2 linked regions of the Pelodiscus sinensis genome follow. The protein of the gene in region 1 interacts with the protein of each later gene in a biochemical or structural test. Links are inferred from orthologs where the notes say so. Each region holds a gene or a part of one and is shown on either strand. Other genes may lie near its edges. The genes, in order: AKAP1 and MYCBP.

The links.
Region 2: the proteins of AKAP1 (region 1) and MYCBP form a complex in vitro, tested with the Homo sapiens proteins (2 studies listed by BioGRID). The link is inferred for Pelodiscus sinensis from reciprocal best matches to the Homo sapiens genes AKAP1 and MYCBP.

What each region holds. Positions count from the first base shown.
Region 1 is NC_134731.1:10,348,278-10,358,049, reverse strand, and holds the start of AKAP1 (A-kinase anchor protein 1, mitochondrial), read left to right. Parts: upstream 1-4,999; 5' UTR 5,000-5,157; intron 5,158-9,772.
Region 2 is NC_134735.1:11,658,016-11,668,340, reverse strand, and holds the start of MYCBP (C-Myc-binding protein), read left to right. Parts: upstream 1-5,563; 5' UTR 5,564-5,784; coding exon 5,785-5,799; intron 5,800-5,896; coding exon 5,897-5,969; intron 5,970-9,371; coding exon 9,372-9,420; intron 9,421-10,325. UniProt on the Homo sapiens protein: May control the transcriptional activity of MYC. Stimulates the activation of E box-dependent transcription by MYC.

The sequences.
Region 1 (9,772 bases):
CGATAAGATCACAGCTGGTAAATGTGCAGCACAGCTGCAAGCAACATTTGATCCATCACTCCTGCCTGCGTGACAGAGCCGCCACTAACAAAAACTGATGGATTAATCCCCACAGTAACCCTAAGGTATTGTTGTTGTTGCTGGTACTGTTATGTCCATTTTACGGCTGGGAGAACCGAGCTGTGCCTGAGGCTGCAGTGGGATTAATAGCTGCATTCATGGTCTGGAAGGCCATAAAGGTCTACTGTGGTCATCTAGTCTGACATCGCGTGTAGCACATGCCAAAGAACACCCCCCAGGAGTTGATGCATCAACCCCATAACTCTGCTTGAACTAGGGTGTTTATTGGAAAAAGAGATCCCATCTTGACTGAGAGACTTCAAGTGATGAAGAATCCACCACCAACATGGGGAGTGATTGATGGCACTGGGCTTAGTCTTCCTAACTCTGAGACTGTTTTCCTCCCCATGAAAAAGTCTGTACAAATAAAAGGTCTTTATTTTACACTTGTTACTGATTCAGAGCAATGGAAACAGACCAACCTTAGATTGAAAAAAACCCCCACAAATGCATGTGGCAATATTAATAATACTTAATTTTTAATGTAGCACTTTTCATCCCTGAATCACAGAAAAGTGAGATCTCTGTGCCTGTTTTACAATTAAGGAAACTGAGGCACGAAGCGGAAAAGTGACTTGCCCAAGGTCACACAGCAGGCTAGGGGCAGAGTAACATAAGAACCCAGGACTCCTGAGTCCAGGTCATGTGTTAGCTTTTGGACCACATTGTCTTCTACACTGTAACATAAAGAATTACCTACAGTGCTAAACTGGCTTATTGTAATAATTGATACATATTTCTCCTACTGAAAGTATTTTACAACCGCCGCTTACTTACTATTCAAAGGTAACCTTCTCTATGGTGAAATGGGCAACTGGTTAACAGTGCAATGTAACACAATCCAATGGGTCAAAAAAGGAAATGTATAAAATTTCCCATTAAAACAGAGGGCCTACCAAACTGGCAAGCAATAACTTTGCTAAAGATGGATTCTCCTTTAAGTTTTCCATCCCCATACTGATTCAGCCATAGCCTGCCATGTTCAGTGGCTGTAGTTGCTTGCTAATGTGTCTCTTAGTTTCACTTTTACAATGCTTATTGAAAAATGTGTACTTAGTCTGCAGAAAGTAAGTGTAAAGGGAGGATTTGGTACCAGCCTTCCACTACCTGTCCAGGAGGTTCCAAAGAGGATGGAGCCAGGTTGCTCTCAATGGTGATAGATGACAGAACTTGAGCAATGGTCTCAAGTTACAGTGAGGGAGGTCTAGGTTGGATATTGGGAAAAACTATTTCCCTAGGAGGGTGGGGAAGCACTGGGATGGGTTACCTAGAGAGGTGGTGGAATCTCCATCCCTAGAGGTTTTTAAGGCTTGACAAAGTCCTGTCTGGGGTGATTTAGTTGGGATTGGTTAAGCAGGGAGTTGGCCCTAGCTCTGATGCCCTATGCAGCCACCGTCCCTGAGGAGCAATGCAGGGCCAGGAGCTGTGGGAAGTAGACCCAGAGCTGTGGGGGCAGGAGCAAGGCAGGTTGGCAGCAAGAGTCATACCTGTTCCAGGCAGCACTCACCTGCAGCAACAGAGTGGAGCAACCCAGCCCCAGCCTCGTTATTTGGGTGAAGGGGTGGGAGGAGATGCAGCAGCGGTGGGAAGAGGCAGGTTGGGGCAGAGCAGGGGGCACTTAGGGAAGGGGTAGAGTGTGGTTGGAGCTGGAATGAGGTGAAGTGAGGTCGGGGGGTGTCCCAGGCTCCACACTCCTTATAGAGATGGCCCTACTGGGCACAGCCTATGGTGGGGGCCCTGGCTGCTGGAGCCCATACCTGCCTAGGGCACCATGAAATTTGGTGCAATTTGGTGCATATTTTGCATAGTGGTAGGAACGGCCTTGGTTGGACTAAGGTCTCCTGAGGTCTCTTCCAACCCTAATCGTCTAAGATTCCATAATGGCGTTGAGTTGTCACTGGCTGCTTGTTTGAACGGCACATTTAACGGTTTGATTTCTTTAGGTGATTGAACTGTGCCGCCTGTGTAGCACCGAGTATTTGAACACAGATAAACAAATTAATTAACATGAAGGGAAACACAAGGAGACAGTGAGCCATTTTTAGCTCTTCCAAGGAAGTGACTCAGATACCAGTGATGACTGAAGAAGGAGGCTTTGAGGAGGATGCCCGGACACTGTGAGGTACCTCGGACAGAAAGATTTAAACAGAGGAGCATATGTCCAGTTGTTAAAGGAGACTGAATCAGCGAATCCACCAGCCCAGAAGAGGACATGAAGTGAAGTGTTCTTTCCAAACTGGAGATGGGTGGGGGGGGAAAGGATGGGAGCTCCTTTATTTTGATACCCTCTGAATATTCCTGCTAGTCAGGGTGTCATGTGCACTAGGGCAAAGTGGATTATTGTAATAACCTCGCCAACTGTGCAGTGAAAGGCTACGTCTACACGATGAGTTTTCTTGGCAAAAAATATGCTAATGAGGGACTCATTTGCATGAGTCATTATCTCATTTGCATATTTTCTGCCAATCCGTTTTTGCGCTGAGGTTTTTGCACAAAAACAAGCAGTGTGGACATTTTTTGTGCAAAACCCCCACAAGATCCTTATGCCCCCCAAAAGGAGGTATACTGATAGCATATTTTTTGCCAAGAAAACTCGTAGTGTAGACGTAGCCTCAGAGCGCACACTAGCGTCCAAGTTCCCTCCAAGTCAGGGGTCTCAATCTCAATTTACCTTAGGGCCAGTGCCAGGCCTCAAATTCTCCTAGTGTGCACTTCTCTGACAGGGCTCTGAGTGGGGGGGAGTGTCTCCTCGTGTTCACCCCCACACACACATCTCCTAGCCCTGCCTGCCAGCCCAGGCACTCCCCTCTCCCCCCCCCCCGGTGTGTCCCCCAACCCCACTTGCTGCCCCCAAGTGATTTTAACATCCCACCAGGGACTCCCAGCACCACCCCCAGTAGGGCAAGAGCAGGTTCCAGTCACGAGCTCTGCCCCACATCCCTGTGTCCCGGGGGAGGTGTGTGCAGAACCATCCATAGGATGGTTGGGCATGGTCACTTTGGGGAGCCCGGCCGTGGCCACCCCAACCTATGAATGGGATGGTTCCCCATTCTCGGGTGAGGCGCTCTGCTTCCTGCCGCCGCTGGCCTGGGGGATGGCAGCGGAGCAGAGCCGAGGCTGCTGCGTCGCTCCACTTCCCCGCAGCTCCTGTTGCCATGGTGAGTGCGGGGGGCCCAATCCCTGCTGCTACCCCACGCCAGGCCTCCTGTGATCCCCGAGGCCCCGTTCCTTAGGGGAGGAGGTTGGGGGAGAAGGAGCAAGGGTGGGAAGAGGCCTCGTGGGGGGTGAAGCAGAGACTGGACTTGAGGGAAAGGCTTGGACATTCTCCTCAGGGCTGCAGGGACTCACGTGCCAGCAGCCGTGTGAGGGCCAGGCCGTGGTACTGCTCGGGCCCCTGGGCCGTGAGTCCGAGCCCCCTGTTCTAAGCTGTGCAGCTGCCTATTAAATGACACACGGACATTCGCCTCGGACCTGCTGCTATACCCCTTCCCCAGCCCTGCCATGGCAGGTGTGTGTGTAGGGCAACAGGTGCCCCTCCACCGACTCCACCCCTACTGTAGCCAGGGGACAGGCACCCTGACCATGACCCAGCCCAAACCTGTTGTAGCCAGGGGAGGGGTCCCCTCCTCCCCGTCAGCCCCAGTCCTGCTACAAGGAGAGTTAGAGAGTGTGTGTGTCTTTACTCCCCACTGTAGCCTCAGGGCAGCCTGCACCCCAAACCTCTTCTCCCTAGCACCACTCAGCCTGCACCCTGAGCCAGAACCCTCCCCCCTGCACTCCAGTCCTCTGCCCCAGCCCTTCGTCCCTGGCTCCACCTTGAATCCATAACCCTCCCCCCCCCACCACCCCGGCCAGAGCCATCACATTCCCCTCAACCAACATGCTGAATGCCTATTAAATGCCCCCCCCCCCCCCCCCCCGCCACAGGAATATTTTTAAGTGCACCAATATGGAGACGATGTGTCACACCATATTGGTGCACATAACAAAATTCATTCCTCATGTGGGTGTGAAAAATGAGAGGGAACACTTAGAGTGTCCACCCAGCCATCCGGCTGGGGCTAATTCCCAGCTCAAGGAGACGGACTGCTGCTGTCCTCCAGCTACTGCACTCAAAATAGAACATAGCCCTGGTCTGCCCTGGCAGCACCAGCTGTGGGATGGTCACGGGTCTCCCCAGGGCACATAGTACTTGAGAGGCTCAGGAGCTCAGCCCAGGGGTCTGGGTGAGTGATGGGGGGAGAAGAAGGGAGGTGTATATTGCCAAGATCTGGTGCCAGAGTGGGGCATAAATTTCAGAACTCACGATGCAACTGGCACCCCCCTCTTCAGCTTGGTTTCTATCATATGCACCAGGGGTGGGGAATCTTTTTTGGGTCGAGGGGGCGGGGGCTGACCCACAGAAAAATCAGTCGGGGGCCACACACAAGTGAAAAGTGAAGCGGGTGCCACCCAGCTGGTGAGCAGAGCACCCACAACGACCCGCAGCCAGCAGCATGTTGTTACTACTTGTAGTGCACATCCACGCGTGCCCTGGTGCACAGAACAAAATTTATTCCACGCATGGATTGGAAACAACTCAGAGGGCACATTGGTGGGAGATCGGGGCAAGGGATGGGGGGTTCAGAGGGGCAGGTCAGGGGTGGGGGCGGGGCGGAAGGTGAGGAGGGGCAGAGGGTGGGGGCCGGGTGCAGGAGCACAGACTCCACGTGCTCTCCCCTGTGCTGTACCCTTGGGGGAAAGGCGTGTCCCACAGGCGCATGCGCAGCTGCTTCCCGCTCCCCCTCCCCCACCGCCGCCAAGTAAGTCGGGGCCGGCTGAATGGCACTCGCCGGCAGGTCTCGCGAGATGTGGCTGCCTCGCGCCGGGGGGCGGGGCGTGCGGGCCTTAGTGTAGCGGTTGAATGTCTCAGTGTTCGGACGGGCCCGGTCGGGCAGCACGTGGGGGCAGCGCGGCTGGCGGGGAGCGGCCGGGGTGGGGGCAGGGCACGGCGCGCACGAGGGCTCTGCACCGGGGGCGGCGAGCACCGGACGGATCGTGAGTACCGGGGCCGGGCCGCGTTCCCCGGGGGGGCGGCAGCCGGGCGTGGAGCCGCCGCCTTGTGTGGGCTGAGCGCCGGGGAGCAGGCGCCAGCGTGGTAGGGCAGCTGTCAGCTCTCGAGGGGCAGCCCCCTCCCCCCTGCGCCGTGTGCTGCCCGGCTGCTACCCCCGCCCGCCCGGGGTCACCCCTGCCCCCTGTGCTGCCAGACTGCCAGCCCCCCCTCGCCCGCCCGGGGTCACCCCTGCCCCCTGGGCTGCCAGACTGCCAGCCCCCCCTCGCCCGCCCGGGGTCACCCCTGCCCCCTGTGCTGCCAGACTGCCAGCCCCCCCTCGCCCGCCCGGGGTCACCCCTGCCCCCTGGGCTGCCAGACTGCCAGCCCCCCCTCGCCCGCCCGGGGTCACCCCTGCCCCCTGGGCTGCCAGACTGCCAGCCCCCCCTCGCCCGCCCGGGGTCATCCCTGCCCCCTGTGCTGCCAGACTGCCAGCCCCCCCCTTGCCCGCCCGGGGTCACCCCTGCCCCCTGGGCTGCCAGACTGCCAGCCCCCCCCTTGCCCGCCCGGGGTCACCCCTGCCCCCTGGGCTGCCAGACTGCCAGCCCCCCCTTGCCCGCCCGGGGTCACCCCTGCCCCCTGGGCTGCCAGACTGCCCACGTGGTGTCACCCCAGCCCTCCCCCTTACCCGCCTGGGGTCACCCCTGCCCCGTGTGCTGCTTGACTGCCCACGTGATGTCACCCCCGCGCCCCCCCCCTTGCTCGCCGGGGTCACCCCAGCCACGTGTGCTGCCAAACAGACTGCCCACCCCTGCCTGGAGTCACCTTTTCCCTGCTGCCCTGGGTGGTGCGACAAGATAGCCCCTTTGTCTTTGCTGCCTCATGTGCTGTCAGACTTTCCCTTCCCTTCTGCCCTGGGGCTGGCTCCTATCCAGCTGCCCTTTCTTAACTCCCCTCTCCCTGTCTGATTCTGCTGTGTACCTCCCCACTCCTAGGAGTGCAGCCCCCTGGAGCTCCAGGCACTGGCTTGTTGCTCATGTGTCCCTTGTTGGTTTGGGGAACTTTTTCCCCACTCGCTTCTTGGCAGAGGTGCGATCAGCCCAGTATGGCCAGCGTGGTGCTTGTCATGGAATTACAGGACTGGAAGGAACCTTGGGAGGTCATTGAGAGGCCATTGAATGGTTCTTTTGCCCCATTTGTATCCCCTTTCCTAACTATCTGTAGCAGGTAGTGGCTTTGCTACTGTGAATGGGATAGCGTGCACAGTATACTGGTGCTGTGAGTTAATGGCACAGTATGTGTCCCGCTTAGGCAGCAAGTCTGGCATTGTTGTGCCAAGGGTGTATTATTAAGAGTCTTTTCTTTACCCTAAGAGGGTGATGGTGGTGTCAGCTTTGAACAGTCACAAGGTTGTGTGTGTAGTGACTCCCTGACCCTTGATACGGAGGCACCTATTAGTGGGATTGCAAACCTGCAACAGGGCTGGCTGTGCCACTTGAAAAGAGTATGAGATGAGCTGTCCTTTATCTCTGGCAGTTAGAAGGTGTCAAGATGCTTTCTGTCCTGTTGGCATTTGCAGAGAAATGACCTGAGCTGCTTTTTCTCAAGGTCACTCACACTCCTATGGATTTATTCTTTTAAAGGTCATGTATACCCAGACTGAACAGGTAGTGTGCTGCAGGAAGCAACCTGAGCACCACATCAGGCCTAGCTCGAGGAGGGCTGGGGAGTTTGCTTCTTGTTCTAACAACTAGCATAGGTCACCGCTTTCTGCTCCGGAGCTGGTGGGTGAAATGGGAACTTCACCCATCTTCGTGCTGCCAAGTCTGTACACTTGGCTCATGCTCCTTTGAGCTCAGATCACCTCCCTGTACTTGTTTCAACTAGAAAAGAAGTGCTTCTGGGCCTCTGGGTGCAGCCTTATTTAGTGAAAGTGAGTGACGGGGCAGGCATGTACCTGCTGCTGTTGCCGATGTGACATGGCAAACTAACCCACGCTGTCTGGCTTGATGGCGCTTACATGAGACGAGCTAATCAGTGTGCAATCTCAGTCAGGTCTTGTTCAGCGTGGCTTTGATGGCTCTTGAACCGCGGCTTTTGGACTTGCCCCTTGGAGAAAAAGAAGCCAGTCTTCCCTCCTAAGAGTTGCAGTGTTTGAGACATGCAGTAGCCCAGAGCAGGCAGAGTTGCTTTCCACGGAAAGTCCCTCCCTCAATAAAAACCCCTCAAAGCCCAACGTTCTTTAAACCGATTAAGGCCAAAAAGAAACCAGCAATGAAATCCTGACCCCGTTGAAGTTGGTGATAAAATTCCCATTGGATTCCACAGTCAGGATTTACCCTCTTGTCTGCTTGAACTGATCCATAGGTGAGCAAATTAAGTGAAGACTCTTTTAAACCATTGCAGAGCTCTTACAACTCGTTAAAAGGCAGCTGGAAGACTGGTCTAAATTACATTAGCCGCTCAGCTGTAAAATTAATGGGTAGGTAGATGAGAATCAGTTGGTGTCAGTTGTTGTATATGCTGATTCAGAGTTTCCTACCAGTGTGTAGATCTATTTCTGTAATAGAAAGTGAATCTGTAATTTTTCAATATCTGTGTGTGTTAGCCACTATCTAACTGTCTTAACTCCACTGAAGTCTTAGCTCTCGATGTTTTGTTGGGGAAATACTAGCTGTTGGCTCTCAGAAATACGCTGTTGGGCAGACTGACAGTCTGTGGTTGATGTGATTTCAGGTTCGTTGGGAGCTGTGTTGCAACAATTTAAAACCGAAAGTGAGGGTTGACGTAAGTATTAGTTGTGGAATTGCTAGTGTAGTCTAGCCTATCTCTTCTGTTTGTACAGCACCTAGCATAATGGGGCCCTCCAGGCGCTACCAGAGAGTAAACAAACTATAATTAGCTGACTCTTCTCTCACTTGTGCAATCTAATGTTTATAAGTCTAATATATAGCTAGAGGATGCAGCGAGCAAGGGAGGAATTATGTTGTAGCATAATCCAGCAGTATTTTATTAGCCTGCGTGCCGTGTTTCTTTCAACTCAAGTAAAAAATGTGAATGGGAGTTTTTCCAGTATCTTCATGAGCTTTGAACAAGTAGACTTGTGCCTGGAATGGTAAACAATCATGGCAGTTTTGCTAGGAGGCAGCTGCCATTCTCCATAGAGAACACAGGGTATCTGTAGGATGTATAATAGGGGAGTCTCTATCTTACTGCCCCCACTTCACTGGACACCTTTACAGCAACCAATCCATAGTACTATGAAATAGTAAAGGATAGGTGCGCTGTACCACAGGTCATATTGTTAAGGAAGAGTCAAGGACAGCTGAACAAAAGTGACTTACATGCTTTTGACTTTGTGTATCTAGGGCTTGGGTGACTTATGCTGCTGCTCCAACACCTACCAGGTGTTATCAGAATGCTGTGAACTTTGTCTTAGGGGAAAAGAAAGGACTTGTGGCTGAGGAAGGTGGTAGCAAGAGTCGCTAACTTCACGTTTCTCCTGTTTGTTTTGTGCCGGTGAATGATCTACAGAGTTACAGCCAGGCAAGTGCCCAGAGTGGAATGGGAAAGAAAGCATATGACTTGGCAGAGCTTGGCACGGTGACTGCAGGATGATAGCTGGGAATTCTGAGGACCTGGCTGCAGCATTGCCCATCTTGTAGTGTTGGAGAGCCTGTATTGCATATGTTTCGTATTGCAATGGAAAGGTTTTTTCTATTGCTGTGGATAATCCCCCTCCCCAAGTGGCAATGGAGTTCTTCCATCGAACTAGCTGCGCTACGTCAGGGGGATTGTGTTTTCACACCCCTAGCGCTGTAGCTATTTTGACCTAACTTTTAAATATAGGCCAGGCCATAGTTCTGTTCACAGCTCTGTCACTTGGTCACTGTGATCCTTGAGCAAATCACTCTGCTTTTTCCTCTGAGCTGTCTGCAGAATGGGCAAAATACTTACCAAACAGGCTCTGGCTGAATCCATGTTTGCTTTCAGTGCCGTTCATGAAATGGGCTTAAAATACTTCAGTGTTACTTTATTCTTAAATGGCTAGGGACCAGCCTGACGCCTGTTTATACGTTCGTTGACCATGGCTTAATTCTTAAGACTGGCACTTAAATGCCAGTTAGTCATGTTCTTGGTACTGTACAAAATTAAAAATGTTTTAGGTCATAAGGATCAAAACCCAGACCTCAACCCACGCAACGGGCTGCATTCCGAGCTTGTGACGGTGATGGGTTCGTACTGCTGGAAGTGTGATAACTGAATTGGGGAGTATAAGTATGTGTGCTAAGAAATCTTGGATGTTTGTCTGTTTCCTTGTTATAAAGTGCCGGGCCCCACGTTGGTCCATGTTTACTGCTCAGTACATGCCTGGAATATTGGTTGTATTAATCAGTATAGGGCATCTACGCTCCTCCATGGTCTCTTAAGGATGCCCGCTGTAGGCTCCTGGCCAGTCACCTCTCCTCTTGGGTAGGGATGTAACAGGTTAACTGGTAAGCCTCATCCTTGCTGGTTGAATCTTACCGGTTCTAGTTAATCGGTATGTCTGGAGCAGCTCTCGGCCTGCCCTGGGCAAGGGGATGCTCCGGGGCTGTTCTGGCCAGCTGGCGCATCCCCTGT
Region 2 (10,325 bases), on another chromosome or scaffold:
TGTAGCGTGAGTTGTAGCTTTTTGTCATTGTAGCTAAGTCAATCATTTTTCTCCAGCTCTTTTGGAGTATGTCTCCACAGCAGTGTTATTTGGGAATAATTGACGTTATTCCAAAATAACATAGTGCTCATCTTCACTACAAGCCTTTATTTCGAAATAATGTTGAGCTGGAGGACTTCTTACTCTGACTCCTGGTAACCCTCATTTCAGAGGAGTAAGGGAAGTTGAAGGAAAAGTGTTCCTCCTTCGACTTCCTGCTGCGTACACAGCGCCAAAAGCTAAATTAAGCTATTTTGACTTAAGCTACAGAATTGACGTAGCTGAGGTTCTGTAGCTTAATTCGACTTTTGCCCTGCTGTGTAGACGTACTCCTACTGAGGTAATGCAAAGAACTGTGCGCTCTTGTGCAGTAGTTGATAAACACTCGTGAAATAAGAAATTGGTTCTACTTTCGCGTAATAAAAAGATGACTTAAAATCGAATAGATCTAATATCTCCATTATCTTTCCTGTTCCTAAATCAAACAGTCACTTTTAATTTAACCCAGTAATTCCTGTATCAAGTCCATGTAAGGCAAGCCTCAGATCAATGGATCACTGCAATCTAAACAGACTTTTTTTTTTGAGGGAGTGAGAGTTATGTATGTGTGTGGAGACCTTGTGCCTCTTCATTACCTTTTTTTCATCCTCACTTCCACATAGCTCCATGACAGAGGAACTGTGCTGACTGGGCCTCGCTTGCTGCATTTGCCCCTGAATAGCACTGTAGTGGGGTTTCACATAGTTTTATATGATATATGTGTTTTATTTTAGGGAGGAAATACTGAAAAGAATGGACAATTACTACCCCCTTTCTAGATCGGTGCAGTCCAAATTCCATGAAGAACCTGTGAAATACAAAAGTGTTTATGTGAGGCTGGGGAGAAGTGAGGACTATGCCACGTAGCCTGTAGGCTCCCAGGAGTAGCCTGAGCTGCTTAGCTGGCAAGAGTGGAAATATTTTCAGCCCTCTCTCTGACTAAACAGCAGAGCACAAAAAACAAACTCCCCTCTCCCCAAAACCAGAAAAGCTAAGTGATGACACAGCCTGCAGGAAAATTGGTGCCCAGAGTGATTGCTTTGCTCACCCACTCTTAGAACTGACAATACATGCTTTCTTCAGTGCCTCCCTGAATCAAATTCCCATGTTTGAGCAGCATTTGCATCACTGATAGTGCCACATAAAGGTTAAAACAATAACAAAAAACAAAAGGTAGGAAATGGAACAGTCATTTATCTTTTAGCATTAATCATGTTGTACATGCTGAAGTTTTAACCATTCTTGACTACCTTGTTAAATCTTAGTTTTTTTTCTTTGGTACCTATCACTTTAGCATCTGAGGTAAATACATATTTGTATATTATTGTGTTGATATTGCTAAATGACTACCTTATTAAAGACAAAAAGGGCAATATGTTTGAGTTAACAGTCATGTAGTAATCTTAACTTTTTCATTTTCTGATTTAAAATTTTAATTGGGTATACTTAAATTTGCAATAATGTGTTTTTAAAGAAAAAAATAACTATGCTTAGTGCACTCCTTTTTGCGCTGTATAAATAATACATTAGTAGCCATAATGTTACTTTTTAAATAGTCCCAATTGGGGTTTGAAGCTCTCATCTCAATTCACTGAATTGTGCAGAAGTCTGTCAAAGAGTTTACAGCCTGCTGCTTCTTTCGGGAGAATGTATGACTCACATAGTAATGACTGCACACAGTATCTTTGAAAAGGAAAAACAAACATGAAATTTAGCTAAAATTAAAACTTAAGAATTTGCACAATATGGCAGAAGGCAACAGAATCTTTTGTAAGACACAACTATACAAACAATGGGTTTGTTATTTTTACATCCCTGCTAATGATTCCTAGATCTTATAGGCTGCATCTACATTGCAACGCTATTTCAGGATACTGGAGTATTCCGAAATAACTATCCCGCATCTTCACAGCAAGCCCATTATTTTGGGCTCGCTATTCTGAAGTCCCTGTAAAACTCATTCCACGAGGAGTAATGGACATTTCGGAATAGCGGATTATTTTGAAATTTGGTGCTATGCAGACAGTGCTAAATTACGAAATAAGCTATTTCAAAATAAGATTGAAATAAGAGACGCAATTTGCGTAGCTCAAATTGAACATCTTTTTTCTAACTATGGTGCAGTGTAGATGTAGTCATATAGTGCTTTTCATCAGTATGCCATGAAGCACTTTACCAAGGAGATAAGTATAATTATCCCATTTTACAAATGGAAACATGGAAGGTAAGGCACTATTTTTTGAAAGGTATTTGAGTGTGCATAATTCTTTGGTCCCCTTGCATGATGCTCTCAGCTGAAACTTATTCCCCATAGTGGTGGAAATATTTCAGTCATATTATTCTGCAAACCTGGTTATGATATCAAAGTGAACATTATTTACATGCCAGGTGTCAAAATTCATCTACTTTTGTGTTTGTGAGGGAATGATTTCTTTTATAGAGGATGAGGGAATAATTTCTTTTATAGAGGAGGAAAGCATTCCATTTAAGTCTTGTAATACAAAATAATTAAGTTGAACTTTTTTTTTTCACCCTATGTGAAACCATATGTGAGACCTGATCCAAAGCATATTGAAATCAATGAAAGCTTTTCCATTGCCCTCAATGGGCTTTTGATCAGGCCTTTAAGATTATAGAAACGTATGTTTGGAAGGAATGGAGAACAGTTATCTAGTTCAGATGCGAGGATTGCCAACTTTCTAACTGCACAAACCAAATGCCCTTGCCCTACCCCTCCGCTTCTCTGAGGTCCCATTCCCAGCCTCTGTTGGTGGCACTCCTGCACCCTCACTCACTTTAACTGGGATGGGCAGGGATTGAGGGTGCAAGAGGGAGTGTGGGGTACAGGCACTAGGAGGGAGATTGGGTATGGGAATGGGCTCAGGACTGGGGGTAGGGGGTTGGGTTGTGGACTTCATGAGCAGGCTTGGAGCTGGGATAGGAGTTTGAGCTGTGGGAGAGTTAGAGAGCAGCAGGTTCAGGGTGAAGGCTCCAGTGCTTACCTCCCACAGCTCCTGTTCTGTGGTGCAGTGGGGCTAAGGCAGGCTCCCAAAAGCAGTTAATGGATGGGTGCTTCTCAACTTTGAAAAGTTTATGTTTTGGTTATTTATATTTTTAACTAAATATTTATAACCAAAACATAACTTTCTATAAAAATAGCTGCAGAAGGGGCATTGGGGCTTGGAGTTGAGGAAGAGAAAGGCATTTGACTATACAGAATTTTCTGCAAACTTTCCTCTCAAAAGGAAGGAGCTTGGGGGCTTATGGTGACTGAGGTATGGAGGCAGGATGAGGACCCCAAGTTCTGGAGAGTGTTAGAGCCACTTTGCTGCTATTTTGAACATACCGACTCTCTGACAGCACATGTTCCCAGTGCCTATACATAACCACTCTGCAAGCAGCATTAAGTCCTATGCAAATGAGGGGATACCTGCTACCTTTGGGGGTGATAATACTGTGTTCAGCAGACCCCACTCACAGACATGGACAGCGGAAGAATGGGCCAGTTGTCAGGGTATTGAGAGAACCCAATCCCCTGTTCAGCTACCAATTTCCTGTGTGACCTGTTCAAGGCACTTAATTTGTCTGTGCCTCATTTCCCAAATGGTACAATAGGGATGATTGTTATGGTTTGGATCAGAGATTCTCTCTAAACTCACAGGATGGGCTGATTGTACCACTGAACCCATCCACCTGCCCTCTGGGGCGCCCCACCACCCTGTCCTACTGGGACAGAAGCTCCGTTCCTCCCCCTCCTCCCCAGCAGCAAAGGCACAGAGTTGGGTAACAGCCCCCCTTGGAGAACAACACAGACTCGTCAGCACCCAGCACAGCCCCGCATGGATCCACATCCCAAATCAATCTGTCTTACTTCTAACCATGCCTATTACAAGATCAAGATCAAGAATACATATTCCTGTTCATCCAGAAATATAATTTATGCCATCATGTGCCTAAAGTGTCCATCTGCTATGTTCATTGGACAAACTTCTCAGACACTTCGCCAAAGAATCAATGCACACAAAACAGACATAAGACTTTCTCACAAAGAGAAAGCTGTTGCTTGCCATTTCAGCCAGACTGACCATTCCCTCAATGACCTTAAAACATGCATATTGCTTCAAAGAGACTTTAACTCCAGACTTCAAAGAGAAGCTTCAGAATTGTCATTCATGCTTAAATTTAGCTGTCTACACTGGCCGCTTGAATTTCCACAAGAACACTGACTTCCTACTGTCTGAAATCAGTGCTTCTTGCGGAAATGCTATGCTGCTACAGTGTAGACAACGTGGTATTGTTTTGCGCAAAAAAGCCCCAATGGCGAAAATGGCGATCGGGGCTTTCTTGCGCAAAACCGCGTCTAGATTGGCCACGGACGCTTGTCCGCAAAAAGTGCTTTTGCGGAAAAGCGTCCTGCCAATCTAGACGCTCTGTTCCGAAAATACTTTTAACAGAAAACTTTTCCGTTAAAAGCATTTGCAGAAAATCATACCAGTCTAGAGGTCGCCAGAGAAAGCTCATAGAGTTCGCCCCCCCCTTATCAATGAGACACACAGCTGTGGCTCCCCCCAACAATTATTTAGACTGGGCTGAGGGACCAGCCGGGGGGCGGGGTCAGAGGGAAGGCGGGAGAGGCACCGGGAGGGAGGGAGGAAAGAAAGAGGGGCCAGGCGGGGGGCGGGGCCAGAGGGAAGCCGGGCTGAGCGACCAAGCGTGGGGCGGAGCTGCGGGAAGGTAGAAAGAGGGACCGGGCTGAGAGGCTGGGCGGGGCCAGAGGGAAGGCGGGAGGAGGGGCAGGCTGAGCGGCCAGGCAGGGGGCGGAGCTGAGGGAAGGCGGGAGGAGGGACCAGGCTGAGAGGCTGGGCGCGGCCAGAGGGAAGGCGGGAGGAGGGGCAGGCTGAGCGGCCAGGCAGGGGGCGGAGCTGCGGGAAGGCGGGAGGAGGGGCCGGGCTGAGCGGCCAGGCAGGGGGCGGAGCTGCGGGAAGGCGGGAGGAGGGACCAGGCTGAGAGGCTGGGCGCGGCCAGAGGGAAGGCGGGAGGAGGGGCCGGGCTGAGCGGCCAGGCAGGGGGCGGAGCTGAGGGAAGGCGGGAGGAGGGGCCGGGCTGAGCGGCCAGGCAGGGGGCGGAGCTGCGGGAAGGCGGGAGGAGGGACCAGACTGAGAGGCTGGGCGGAGCTGAGGGAAGGCGGGAGGAGGGGCCGGGCTGAGCGGCCGGGCAGGGGGCGGAGCTGAGGGAAGGCGGGAGGAGGGACCAGGCTGAGAGGCTGGGCGGAGCTGAGGGAAGGCGAGAGGAGGGGCCGGGCTGAGCAGCCGGGCAGGGGGCGGAGCTGCGGGAAGGCGGGAGGAGGGACCAGGCTGAGAGGCTGGGCGGAGCTGAGGGAAGGCGGGAGGAGGGGCCGGGCTGAGCGGCCAGGCAGGGGGCGGAGCTGAGGGAAGGCGGGAGGAGGGGCCGGGCTGAGCGGCCAGGCGGTGGGCGGGGCTGAGGGAAGGCGAGAGGAGGGGCCGGGTCGAGCGGCCAAACGGGCGGCAGACACAGCTGGCGGAGAGGGCCAAGGCCGCGGAACAGAAGCTGGGGGCGGGGCGGGGCCGCGTGCTAGCGTCACCCGTCTCCCTAGGAACAGATGGGACGCGGCGTGCCTTCCCCGCCCCCATAAAACCCCCGGGGCGCATGCGCGCTTAGCGCAGCGGCGGCGGCGTCTCGGCCGGGATGGCGCACTTTAAGGTGCGGGGCAGCGGCTGCTCTTCGGGCTCCGCGGGAGCCGGGGGCGGGGTGTCCCCGCTGGCTGCTCCCCGCTAACGCTGTCCCCTCCTTTCCGCAGGCCGCGGACTCCAAGCGGGAGCAGTTCCGCCGCTACCTGGAGAAGTCCGGCGTGCTGGACACGCTCACCAAAGGTAACGGGCCCGCGCCGCCTTCTCAGGGGCCTCGCGCTCCCCCCCCCCCCCCGCCGTCCGCTCCCCCGGGGCCCTTCTCTGCCCCGCCCCCTGTAGCCGAGGGCTCGCCCCGCTTCCACAGCTCTGACCCGCCGCCACGCCCTTAGGGGGCCCCTAGACTCGCGGGGGGGGGGTCATCGGGTCCAACCCCCCCGGGGAGTTGGGGCTCAAGTGACTCGCCCAGCAGAAGCAGGGATCCGATTCGGTTCTTCCGGGAGATCCTGCACCCTGAGACTTACTCCCTTCTTCTTCCTGTAGTCTTGTGCCTGACTTGCTGCACGCTGTTGGGCCGCTGCAACAGGGGTGGGGAGCCTGTCGCCTGTCTGGGTTCTGTGGGTGGCCCACGAGACCTCTTGTCGTGCTTGTGTGGCGTTCCCCTGGCTTCCATCTGTGGAGTAGTCCTCCTACTATTACTGAAGCACCATGCACCTCCAGCAAAGGTACCCGGAGTGAGGTGCCTGCTGACTGCACACAACACTGACTGAGCGAGCCCTGCTCTCCCTATGCATCCAGGCAAAGTGCTGATGTTGTTCAGTTGGTGCACCCCACGAATTCTTGGTACACAAGTACAGTTAGCAAACTGTTAGTTACCACTACCCTATCCCAGGAGACCACCTTGCTGCTTATGACAATCTTGTGGTCCACTGAGATGGAGGGATGCTCAAGTCGGCCCATTCACTAGGTTGCCCATCGCTACTCTATATCAAAGGAGGCAGGGTTCTTGTACAGAACAGCTCATTCACTGCAAAGTTCTGTTTGATTCCCCAACGAGGCAGAAGTCCTGTTTATTCCTCTAATGTATGTATAGCGTTCAGTCATATCAGTTTTGTGTTGCCTGGATGTAGCAGGGCAGAGTTGAGAGCACAGAAGAGTTTCTTTGCTCTTGATTCCTGTGCTCAGCACTGCTTGTGGCACCCAGCAATTAAGAGGAGAAATTGCAAGGAAAGTCCTGATCCGTCTTCAACTCAGAGATGGAGCAGGCTTAGAGCACATTGAATTTGGAAAAATTTAGCCAACAAAGCATAACTCCTTCTCCTGAGCAATTTCTTGAATCTCTATAATTTGGGCAGGGTTGTAGTAGGGATTGCAAAAGGCATACCTCTTAACAGCAAGGCCATCCGTACTGCTAAGTGCAGAGGCAATATAGCTTCTTAATCAAATAGGTGTAAGAATTTTTAGCATGGGCAAAACAAAATTTTTGCCTTAATTTCGTTCTTGGAAACAGCTGAACTGTTGGGTACAACTTTCAAAAAAACTTCAACATGAGGCATGGGCATGTATATAAAATTTCAGTCCAAATGGGCAAACTGGAAAATGAACTACAAGCAGGGTCTTAATGGAAGTTATTAAGCAACCTTACGTATAGGTCTTAACTATCAGCTCTGGCTATAAACTGTTGTGGAAGTACCCAAATCCCCATATATGGATTGGGATGACATTGGGCTAAACATAGAAAATCTTAAAATTTCTTCACAGGTATAGCTTACAATCTAAGGAAGTCAAACAATATACAAAGAATTAGAGGCAATTAAATATTTCTCTGTATTTTTAGTCTTGTAATTATATGAATATTCACTTCCTCAGCCTATAAATTACACACAAGCCATATTCATTTTGGCTTCATCTAAATCCAGAAATCGAAGAATGAATTAATCCACTGGAGAACATAACATAATGCTGGCTCAAGTTCACTTGAGGATAGGGATGTAAAATCACATTTGGTTAACTGGTTGAATGGAGCAAGTGGAGGGGGAGGAGGGAAGCAGCTATAGCCTCCACCAAAAGTCATACCCCTACTTGAGGATTCAGTCCACAAAGCAGTAAAAAATGAATATTTCAAAGTTTGTGCCACATGGCTGTCTTTGGTTCAAAGTACAAGTTGAGTATCATATTCAATGTAATACTGAGTGCACCTGGAGATGAGCACAACGTGATGAAGCCAAATGTTGTACTGTAAGTGCAAGCTACGATCCTGAGACACTATTTAGGATTCTTGCTTCAACTCTAGAAGCAAAGCAGCAGGTTGTGGAATTTGTTTCCACCTCCAACTCCTCCTTCCTCCTCCTTAGTGTAAAGGTGGCCTGGTGATGGAGAAGAATACTGAGTTTCCAAACTCATTAAAGGAGACCCTGGCTTTGGTTTAGGGATGTTAAATATTGGTTAATTGAATAGTTGAGTAACTTCATGAATTCTTATTTATTAGTCAACTATTCTATAGTTCATAGAGGTGATGCTAGCAGCTAGTGCAATCCGACTAGACTCCCAAGGAGTGCTGCTGCTGCCTCTGTGGGGTGCCAGGCAGGAACTGGTCTGTGGGGGGAGCCAGTTTAAAAATCATCTCCCCTCGTGGATCGGCTGCCCATCACCCTGTGCTGCTGTCTCTGAGATCTTGGACCCAGCGCAAGCTGGAACTGATCTTGGCTGCCTGTCTGCGTACAAATACACTTTAAATGCAGAGCCACCTCAGTTGGTAGGGCCTGGACATGTTGCAAGCCAGGACTGAGCCGGGCTGCTGGCCAGCCTGCTAAAAAATATACTGGCAAGGGGGTGAGGAGGAAAAGGTGTGTAGTCTATAGCATTAACCTATAAGCTTCTGATTATTGGTTGACTACACTATTACATCCCTACTTTGTCTATGCTAGAGAGGTCTAGGGAAGAGGTCTCCTATTGGCTTAATTACTCCAGCCCTTGCAAGCAGTGGTAGCTATATCTGCAAAAGCTCTTCTGCTCATATAACTTCCGTTTTTGAAGTGGTTGTGTTGTTCATGGGGGTGGCTATTTTACTCCGCTGAGCAACATAACTTATGTTGTTGGGTATTTAAGCTATAGTGTAGCCATAGCCTTAAATTACCTTCATTATAAGACAAGTCACAGATGTGATTGTGGGCAGCTACTTCAGTGGGTAGAGAATGTGTGTCCAGGAACTCTTACTAAAAAATTTAGATCAGTTTTTAGAACATAACTGCTTGAAAGCACTGTTCTTGTAATGTTTGTTTTCAGAAATTATTGCAAATACTTAGCTTTATGGTTCATTAAAGAATTGTTGGAAAAAAGCTTATTCAGAATAATTCCAGTTATATAACTGCAATCAAGCTTATGTGGATGCACATGCATCTTAATAGTACTCTGCATGATCATTAATAATAGTACTCTGCATGATCATTAATATTTGTTCATTGTCCTAATTTTTGACTGTAATACAAGCTAGCTTTGTTTTAATGTTTATTCTAAAGGTGATGTTTCACGAATCTGAAAGCAATCCTTTTTACATCTCAAATTACCTTTGACTATTGGCACGTGCTTCATAAATTGAACTGTTTAGAAAGTTTCTGCTTTCATCTGTTGGATGTTTTTTACTTACAGTGTTGGTAGCCCTTTATGAAGAGCCAGAGAAACCAAATAGTGCACTGGAGTATCCTTTTTCTTCCTGTGAATTGATGAGGCAAAAGATGGAAGCCTAGTCCAAGAAGGATACTAGTTTGTCTCCAAATTATAAGTAAACAAAATATTTTTACTTATTTAATATTAGTAGACTTATCTGGTGTTGCCTGGATCCTTTAGGGCAGGGGCTGGTTATGGGGGGGTGGGGGTGGGGAAAGGGGGAGTGCATGGGGCAGGGAGGTGTAAGAGTGAGGTTTGGGGGAATCAAGAGGGGCTTAGGGAAGGGATTCCATCTGGCAGTGGCATTTTTCTGATTCCCTTCCTCCCCTACCCCCATTGGTGCTGTGGCCAAAGGGAGGAGGTGGTTAGGGCAAGGAGGATACTTACCCATGCTGGCTGCTCCCTTGGTGGTACAGCTGCTCCCAATGGATATGCTTCCGGATAACTCTTCCTCTGCAAGCTTGCTGCCCCTAGTGGCCACTCTGTATTGCATTCTTCCCATAGCATATTATGGAAAACTGTCCTTTCCTGAGACTGCCAGTTGTCTTGGCACAGCCACACCCTGACCTTGCTTTAAGTTAGGAGAAGAGGAGGCTACATACCAAGTTTGGTGGCCCTAGCTAATAACATCATTTATGAGGAGTCCTTGAACAAACGGGCTTGCAGACAGAGATTATATATAATATAAAAACAGTAAAAGCTTTAGGGAATTAGCACTCAGTCAGCCAAATAAAATAGAGAACTGGAAATTTAACTCTTGCATGATGAAGTACTTACTACCAACAGCCTGATGCTTTTGGCTCATCTAACCTGGTGGTATTTGTTTTTGGCAGTGGCTGATGCTTAATAGAAGACTTGCATCTGTATTAAGCATTTTTATAGGTGGTTTTGCATAGGAATTCCTGTGGTTCACTGCATAGTTTGGAACACTGTATT